2 linked regions of the Daphnia pulex genome follow. The protein of the gene in region 1 binds, or shares a complex with, the protein of each later gene. Links are inferred from orthologs where the notes say so. Each region holds a gene or a part of one and is shown in the gene's direction. Other genes may lie near its edges.

The links. Proteins that work in one complex are often made in the same cells at the same time.
Region 2: 2-(3-amino-3-carboxypropyl)histidine synthase subunit 1-like (region 1) and DPH3 homolog share a complex: the UniProt entries of both Caenorhabditis elegans proteins name them as parts of the 2-(3-amino-3-carboxypropyl)histidine synthase complex. The link is inferred for Daphnia pulex from reciprocal best matches to the Caenorhabditis elegans genes dph-1 and dph-3.

Annotation. Positions count from the first base shown.
Region 1 is NC_060028.1:7,506,115-7,510,218, reverse strand, and holds the start of 2-(3-amino-3-carboxypropyl)histidine synthase subunit 1-like, read left to right. Parts: upstream 1-1,304; 5' UTR 1,305-1,401; coding exon 1,402-1,614; intron 1,615-1,682; coding exon 1,683-2,381; intron 2,382-2,439; coding exon 2,440-2,775; 3' UTR 2,776-2,778; intron 2,779-3,168; exon of another isoform or gene 3,169-3,171; 3' UTR 3,172-4,104. Other genes in the region: protein singed wings 2-like, read left to right, coding at 1-23, 92-250, 385-498, 560-829. UniProt on the Caenorhabditis elegans protein: Catalyzes the first step of diphthamide biosynthesis, a post-translational modification of histidine which occurs in elongation factor 2.
Region 2 is NC_060019.1:9,157,537-9,162,118, reverse strand, and holds DPH3 homolog, read left to right. Parts: upstream 1-2,169; 5' UTR 2,170-2,274; coding exon 2,275-2,382; intron 2,383-2,450; coding exon 2,451-2,525; intron 2,526-2,656; coding exon 2,657-2,725; 3' UTR 2,726-3,205; downstream 3,206-4,582. Other genes in the region: eukaryotic translation initiation factor 3 subunit M-like, read left to right, coding at 246-287, 524-631, 691-845, 908-1,126, 1,188-1,345, 1,401-1,508, 1,568-1,920. UniProt on the Caenorhabditis elegans protein: Required for the first step of diphthamide biosynthesis, a post-translational modification of histidine which occurs in elongation factor 2.

The DNA of each region.
Region 1 (4,104 bases):
ATATGGATCTGAGCAACAATAGAGTGAGTATAAATGTTGAAACACTTTTCAAATTAATTATTTAATCATTTAATTTCTAATCTTACCTTAGATTGAAGATGTAAGTGAGCTAACTAAAAATCCCAGCTACAGCAGAGTGACTGTTTTATATCTAGCCAATAATCGAATCCAATCAATTTCAAGCTTGGAGGATTCTGATTGGATCAAACAGTTTAGTCTGTTAAGTCTTCAAGGAAACCTTCTAAAAGAAGTAAGTTCAATAAAGTTACCTCAAAATTTTAAGGTATTCTTATCTGCTGTCGAGTTCAGAGGAATGTTGGGGGATTCTATAATGCTTAATGGAATAAAAATTGACTAGCTTTTTTTTAATATTTTATTTTGCAGATCCCTACAGATGCACTGAATAATGTATTTCATCATCAAGACATCAACGGCGTTCGCATGCTTCTTAGTAACAATCCCTGGAAATGTGACTGCATTACCATTACCCAGTTTCAGGTAATTTTATTTGATTTTTCAATTTTAGTAATTGCTATACGAATCACGTATTCTTTTTTAGTCGTTTATTGCCAAGCACAAACAGCTGGTCAAAGATGTTAGCAATGTCACGTGCGGCCCAGCAGAAGGGGAAAGCGCTGGCAAAAAGGTAATTGCGGTAGAGCTGACCAGCGTTTGCAGCACTGTGGGAAACAACGCTATAAATCTAATGGATGTGTTAAATGTAATCTTGGCTCTTTTAACTCTGGCTACCATCGGCAAACTCCTTTATGACTATTACGCTTATCGCAAGACGGGGCAACTACCGTGGATCGCTAGCAAACTGCCATAAGTTTGATTAGTTTTTTTTTTAAACAAATATGTCAAAAAGCTCTGGTCTATCCAAAATATTAATTTTTTACACGTGCATGCATAGAGTATAACCATTTCGCGCTTGCAGCTCAATTGTTTCATAAAATTTTGTTCTACTTCATGGTACAAATTAAGTTTTTATTCTTTTGCAAAATTTTGTGACGTATTTACTTGTTATTTGTTGCTCCAGCGGCCAGCGCCTTTTTACCGGTTATTCATTCGTCAGTGTCGTGTGTGTCTATTTGTTGCCTCACATCTTTCTTGTCAATCAAAATTTTTTTTTAACATGAAATAATACAATTTAGTCAGCTGGCGACTGGTATTTTAAAATCAGTGTTTGAAGTTTGATTTTCTTTATTCTTGTTCTTGTTTGATGTAAAAGTTTCAGGTCTGATATTTTTAAAAATTTGTTAACAAAAGTTGTCGAATTTGGCGCTAGATGGATTTGTTTGGGAGATATTCCGTCGTCTGCTGCTCAACACGTTGTTATTTCTGAAAAGTTCATTCCTTCGTTGCAATTTAAGATTAAAGATTTGAAGCTATCGAAACAAAATGGAAGAAACGACACCAGATAATATTGCAAAAGATAAAATAGCTGAAACAGCCTTGGTCTCACGAGCCAATCCCGACAGAAAAGTGTATGGTGCGACGACAGGAAAAATCAGGGTTATGAACCAGATTCCAGATGACATACTGAACGATAAAAAATTAGCAGCAGCAATCGAACTTCTTCCAAGTAATTATTCCTTTGAAATTCATAAAACGGTACGAGAAGTCATAATTAGTATCATCACTTGGCAAGCATTTCTGTTCATGTCAGCCTTTTTGTTCAGGTGTGGAGAATCCGCCAAGTTGGGGCTAAAAGAGTAGCTTTGCAAATGCCAGAAGGGTTGCTCATGTTTGCTTTGACAATCTCAGACATTATAGAAGAGTTTTGTCAAGCTGAAACTGTGATAATGGGGGATGTTACCTATGGAGCCTGTTGTGTTGATGATCGAACAGCCATAGCTCTAGGAGCTGACTTAATGATTCACTATGGACATTCATGTTTAATTCCAGTGGATCAGACTAGTGGAATCAAAATGCTTTACATTTTTGTTGATATAAAATTTGATTCACAACATTTCATTGAAACAATTAAGCTTAACTTTGACAAAGAAACCAGATTGTCATTTGTGAGTACCATTCAGTTTGTGGCCTCACTACAGAGCTTGGTGATGCTGCTTAAGAGTGAAGGATATATTGCCAGTACACCCAAATCTTCACCATTGTCGCCAGGCGAAATTCTGGGCTGTACGTCTCCTTCAATAGACACAGACGTCATCATTTATCTTGGAGACGGAAGATTTCATCTTGAATCGGCAATGATAGCGAATCCAGATTGCAGAGCATACAAGTACGATCCTTACAATAAAGAATTTACGCAAGAGTTTTATGAACATGACCAGATGAAGACCAACAGAAAAGCAGCCATAAACACAGCTACAAAAGCCTCTAGATTTGGTTTAATCTTAGGGACACTGGGCCGACAAGTAAGAATATTCAGCTTTATATTTTCTAAGATGTTTGAATAATTATATCTGTGTATAGGGAAGTCCAAAAGTGCTGAACGAAATCAAAGAGAAAGTGCTGAAATCGAACAAGGAATTCGTTACCATATTGATGTCGGAAATATTTCCGTCCAAACTAGCGCTTATGCCCAGCGTCGATGCATGGGTTCAAATTGCATGCCCAAGACTTTCAATTGATTGGGGTCTTGCTTTTGCCAAGCCACTCTTGACGCCTTACGAAATCAATGTGGCGCTGAAAGAGGTGGAATGGAAGGACACGTACCCCATGGATTTCTATGCCTATGAAAGTTTAGGAGCATGGACACCCAATTACAAACCAAAATGTGAAAAGAAAAAAACTGTCGACAGAAAATGAATTGTAATTAATTTTTCGTTAAATAAAATTTGAAAGTTATTTAAAAACAATTTATCATCCTGCGGCACTGCACATTTAGACAAGTTACTCACTTACTCTAGCGCTGACATCGACAAATCCTTAATCTTATGTCCTACTGTATGTTTTATAAGTAAATAACATATTTGCCTTTCCCAATCGTAAGATTTACTTGTATAAAAAATTGCTGCGAAGTTCCAAATTACCCTAAGGGTTTCTTACGGTGCGGGGTGGTTAGAGTGAAAAAGGCAAATTTTTAACCAGTAAGATTGTGTGGTTTGTGTAGAAATTTTACTTGACATATAAATTACTATCTTATTTGTTTGTTATGTTTTTTTCCGATTATTTGCTGTAACTTAAATTTTCATTCTATAGTAGGTCCTCTTCTGCACTTACCTCTCGCACTTATTTTCTTGGGGAATGGGACCTAGGATCGCTAGGATCACCCGACTGTACAGCCCTTCTGTTAGTACCTTGCTAACGCAGGTAGATAAAAATTTTGTATTTTCCCTCTTTTTATCCTTTTTGTTTTGGCCACTAGATGCCAATAGGTGCACCTTTTAGTTAATATATCCGCATCTCTCTTTCTTATGTTCAAACCGAGAATATTACGTTTATGTATAACATTGATCGACGAATTCATAATGTGAGTTGAACACAGGATATTGAAATTTGAAACATTGATTTATTTCATATGTTCATGTTCATTTACTACATAATTTCTGTCCCAGGCTTTATAAAGTTCTTTCAGGGCCTCTTCGACTCATTCGATGTGCTTGACAATTTCTAGCAAAAATCTGGTTAATTTAAAATCCGATAAACTTTCTGCGCGCGCGCGCTTTTCTCCCACTAGGACTGGTCAGTTTTGAATTAAAAACTAAAAACAGTTTGACATGTAGGCTTGCCTGATTCACGTGAGTAATATGGGTTCTCCACTACAATTAAGCTCCCATGAAAATTACTATCGAAACACGGGATTGTATCTATTAGAAGTAAACACACATACGTGGTAGGTGCTCCTTCGGGTGAAACAAAAAAAATTGTATCGAAATAAGAGCTAGTGTTTCCAACCGCAATTGATCAATGTCACGTGCAGGAAAACCCCTAAAGTCTGAAACTACAGCAAAAACCACAGCAGCAAAAAAGTTCTTCTACGAAAAAAAAAGGTAAATTTTACCTTCTTCTCTTTCTGTATTTTTCTTGTGATTCATCGTCTTCCATGCATGTATAACTTCCTGGTAGTTCGTTACGAAATTCGTTGCCATCATCTCGTGGCTTAATCTCTCATTTACATTTGAATTAGTAGGACAC
Region 2 (4,582 bases), on another chromosome or scaffold:
TAATAATTTTAAAAAATCAAGAACTGGTTTTAGAAAATTTTGGAAAGCGTGAAAGTGTTGAAACAAAGAATTAAAAAAAAAAAAAAATCGTTGATTTATCTGTAGGGGAACACGGTGGCAATGTCGCCATTACAGACGAACTTCTGTACCGGGATCGTGAGCGTGGCCTATATCCGGATTTTTTTGACAAGCAACTTCTAATAAAGGAATCTTTTTTTCCAGTTTGTTTTGAACAATTTATCAGGATGAGTTTACCAGCATTTATCGATTTAACGGTCGAAGAACAGGTTAGTTTCCCCATAAATTTAGTCCGGTAGATGCTAAACTGTTGTGGCGATGAAGTGTGGAGTCTGCCAGTAGCGTACACCTTTCTGTGTTATAGACAATTTTCCCTACTAGTATTTCTAATTTTTATACCTGTTTTACCACCTGGAGAAAGCAAATAACTGTTATATAGTACTGAGACAAAATTTAAGACATCAAGGCTTTGAATTGGTCATTGTATTCATATCTGTCTTTTTAGGCTACTGAATTGTGTAGCTATTTCAAGGCTCTTGGAGCATCAAATGTGGATGATGATCAAAACTCAGATCTTAGCAACATTGTTGCTGTTGCAGATCTCTGTTTCAAAGTAAGTGACAATTTTATTTCAATTAGTAGTGTGTGTTTACACTATTTTCTTCTTTGAAGGAGGGCAATGAAGTGGAATCTGAGGGAGTCTTGAATAGCATTGTATCTATGCTCGTTCTTCTCCCCAATGAAAAAGCTGAACCAATAATTACTACGTTTTGCCAAAAGCTTGCAAAACCCCCCTCAAACAAGTTGGGACTTGTTTGTCTGAGAGTGTGAGCATTTGAAATTTGAAGTTTACATAATGAATTGTCTAACTATAATTTTGATTCTTTAGTCTGTCTGTACTATTTCATGGGCTTGATCCTGTGAGTACAACGCGTTACACGGTCTATCACACGCTAGTCCAAGTTGCTGGACAAGTGGAACAGATGAAGACAGTGTTCACGGATCTAGATAAAATGCGTACTCAACTAGGGCCATGCAAACCTAACAACGAGCAGATGCAAAAACTCCTCCGAAGTTTACATGAAGCTCTCCTCAACTCCAGAGAAAGGTAAAGTATTGAAGTTAAACAAATAATTGTAACAATAAATCAAACCAGTGTTATTATTCAGTGAACTGGCCTCCAAAGTGATGGTGGAGTTGTTGAGCACTTACACGACCGAAAATGCTTCACAGGCTCGTGAGGAAGCTCAACGCTGCATTGTTGCTTCATTGGCTGATCCCAACACTTTCCTTCTCGATCATTTATTGACTTTGCAACCTGTGAAAGGTTTATAAAAATTACTTTGAAGTTAAATCAGTTATTAATTAATTTTTGTGTACAGTTTTGGAAGGTGCCCTTTTGCACGATCTGTTGACCGTATTCGTGACGGAAAAGCTGTCAGCTTATTTGAAGTTTTATGAGGAAAAGAAAGATTTTGTTGAAGGACTAGGTATTTACTGGAAATTTTTAAGTATTTTTTTAAGAATTTTAAGTAACAATGATTTTTAGGTCTGAAACATGAGCAGAACCTTCGAAAAATGCGAATTTTGACTTTCATGCAGTTGGCTGAAAATTCCGTAGAGCTCCCTTTCGAAACGCTCGAGAAGCAATTACAACTAACCGAAGATCAAGTAGAGGAATTTGTCCTTCAAGTCCTTAAGACGAAATTGGTGCGCGCACGAATGGATCAGTTGAACAAGAAAGTGCTTGTTTCATCAACCATGCATCGGACATTCGGCAAGCAGCACTGGCAGCAGTTGCGTGAGTTGCTGACTACTTGGCGAGGCCACCTCAGACAGGTCAAAGATTCCATGCTAACCATCGTTAACGAGCAAGCCGAACTTCTCGCTCAGCAATCCTGAACCGATTAGAGAAGAAACAAAAGACTTCAAATTATCCCGCTATCCATCTCTATTAAGGTTTTGTGGAAATAAACGATGACGCCGGCACATTATCTGACAAAATCAGACTTTGATCATTATTTCTGTTTTGTTTCCAACATACTGTTGTTTGAAAGTAGGGTAGGAGATAAAAAAAAAATTCTTTTTTTATTATGCTTATTATATGCAACGTGTAAACGTGAGTTAATTCAGGTAGTCTGATTTTTGGCCGGCAGATGTCTCTTTTTCTCACGTGTTGTCTTTTGAAGATCCACACATTTTTGTTTCAGTAGTTGAGAAAAATCTTTTATTTATTACTCAGAATTTTTGGTGAAAATGTCTGTCTATCACGATGAAGTTGAAATCGAAGATTTTGAATATGATTCGGACAGTGAAATTTACTTCTATCCTTGCCCTTGTGGAGATCGGTTTGAAATCACCAAAGTAATGTGACGTCCCCATTCCTTACTCAGATTCCAAGCTTATTAAAAGGTTTACTTTTATTTCAACAGGAACAGCTAGAAAATGGGGAAGAGGAAGCCACATGTCCGAGTTGTTCACTTATAGTAAAAGTAATATACAACAAGGTATGTATATGAGCAAGTGGAAGTTCTGGAAGCAACTGGCTTTCAGCCTGTATAGCATTACACAATATGTCTAATATTTAGTTTTAAAATTTACTTACATTCATGAATGACATATTTATTTAAACATACAGGAAGAATTCATGCAGAGCGAGGAAATCACGTATTCATCCCCAAATAAGAAAGAGTCACTCACAACATAAACTAGTTATTTTAGTATACTTAAGTAGGATTGAATAATTTTCAGAAATTGCATTTTTTTGTGTATTAAATTTTGTCCATTCTAAAATTTGCCATGAAGAATCACAAATGAATCTTGTCATTTATCATTCTTATTGCTTCTTTCACGATTGATCTGTCCAATTGAGCTTGTGATCAATCCTCTACTGTTAGGATCTTCTTTATTCATTTCCTTTTGCTTTTCTTCTATGTCTTTCATGAACAACTTCCTAAAATGAAAAACAATATTCAAATATCTCCTTTGCTGGAATGAAATTGAGATTTATCAGTTCTGTACTGAGCAAGTCTTTCAATGTCTCACCGATATTGAAACCCCATGTAGAATGTTCCCAAAATGAATCCTTATGAAGAAAACAATTTTTAACCAATTACTATTCAATGGCTTTGTAATTAAATTTACCAAAAACGATTGGAAATCGAAGAAAAGCAGCTCGACTCCTTGACGAATTTTTCATTTTCATCAGTACCTACAATGTATACTGTATACAATTATGGGTAGATTGTTATTATGAAGTAGTTTTTGATCATGGTCGTGGTCGACCATTTGGAGTAGAATGATCTGTGCGGCATCTAGCGAGGACTTCCTAACTTGAAATTTTACGAAGGTCTCGGGAATTTTCAATCGAATTAATTGAACGTTATTTAATGAACGTTTACGTTTCGGGAATTAATAACTATTACTGATATAGTGATTAATGTTAGAAGTTAAATGAAATTAAACTATGTTTAAAATAACCATTAGCTTAAGAGAGGTTGACTTTGATTACCATTACCATGAAATAAGAATTTTATCACACTGTAGGATGATGATGATAAACTTAAGAGAATGTGTCAATGTGACAATTTCTTTCCACTTGTATTGTAACTACTAGGATCAAAGGAAATAGTTAGCCATGTTATGTTATGTTCTTTTGCTCATCAGTTTCAATATTCTCTATTGGTTCTATGCTGAATTTAGTTTCTCTGCTGCTAGTTTTAAACATTTTGAATTTGCCTTCTTTTGCAAGTTCCTTCATCAAGTCATTATACATTTGTTCCTATTGTTAAGAGAAATGATTAAATATGATAAATTTGGTACAGTACTATTATGAATTTTCCATTACCACTTTTTTCTCATCTTTTGAAACATTTGAGATGGATGCTTTAACAAAATGGCCCTTAGAAAGCCATTTCCTTATATTGTTTAATTTTGCATCCAAGTCATGCTTTTCAATTTTATCTTTAAATGTAATCATCTTGGGAGACTTCTTCTTAAGTTTGGCAAATCCTATCAAACAAAGCACTCAATTTTCATCTGACCAGTATGTAATTGAACTTCTTTAATGTTTACACCTGAATACCTTCATCATGGAGTTGGGAATCAATTGAAGAAGAATAACGACGAATTAATTCCAACGAACCTAACTGGATAGTATTTACTTTTGCGTGGGGGCGAAATTGATTTTTAGCTGCAAGCAAGGTAAACCTTCGAGCTTGGCTTATAACTCGACTCATGGTTAGAATTGCATCACATACAGGGACAGTCGTTCATATTTAAACTGACCTCGATATTCGAGCAATAAAAGTATAAAATCTTTAGCAACAACCAAATGGCAAATACAAACTTAAAGTATCAAAAATAATTTTCTACTCGTTAATCGACTTGTTTTGAAAAACAAACGTCTGCTATATGGAACGCCAAAGTGACGCAAAATTAACTGCTTGAAATTTACTGCAATTCACCACCGCCGTCTAGCGGGCGGACCGAAAATCGTCGTTTCTCTGCCTCTTTTGGGGAGGGGTTCTAAGCTATCGATTACAATGCAATAGTTAGCTTAACA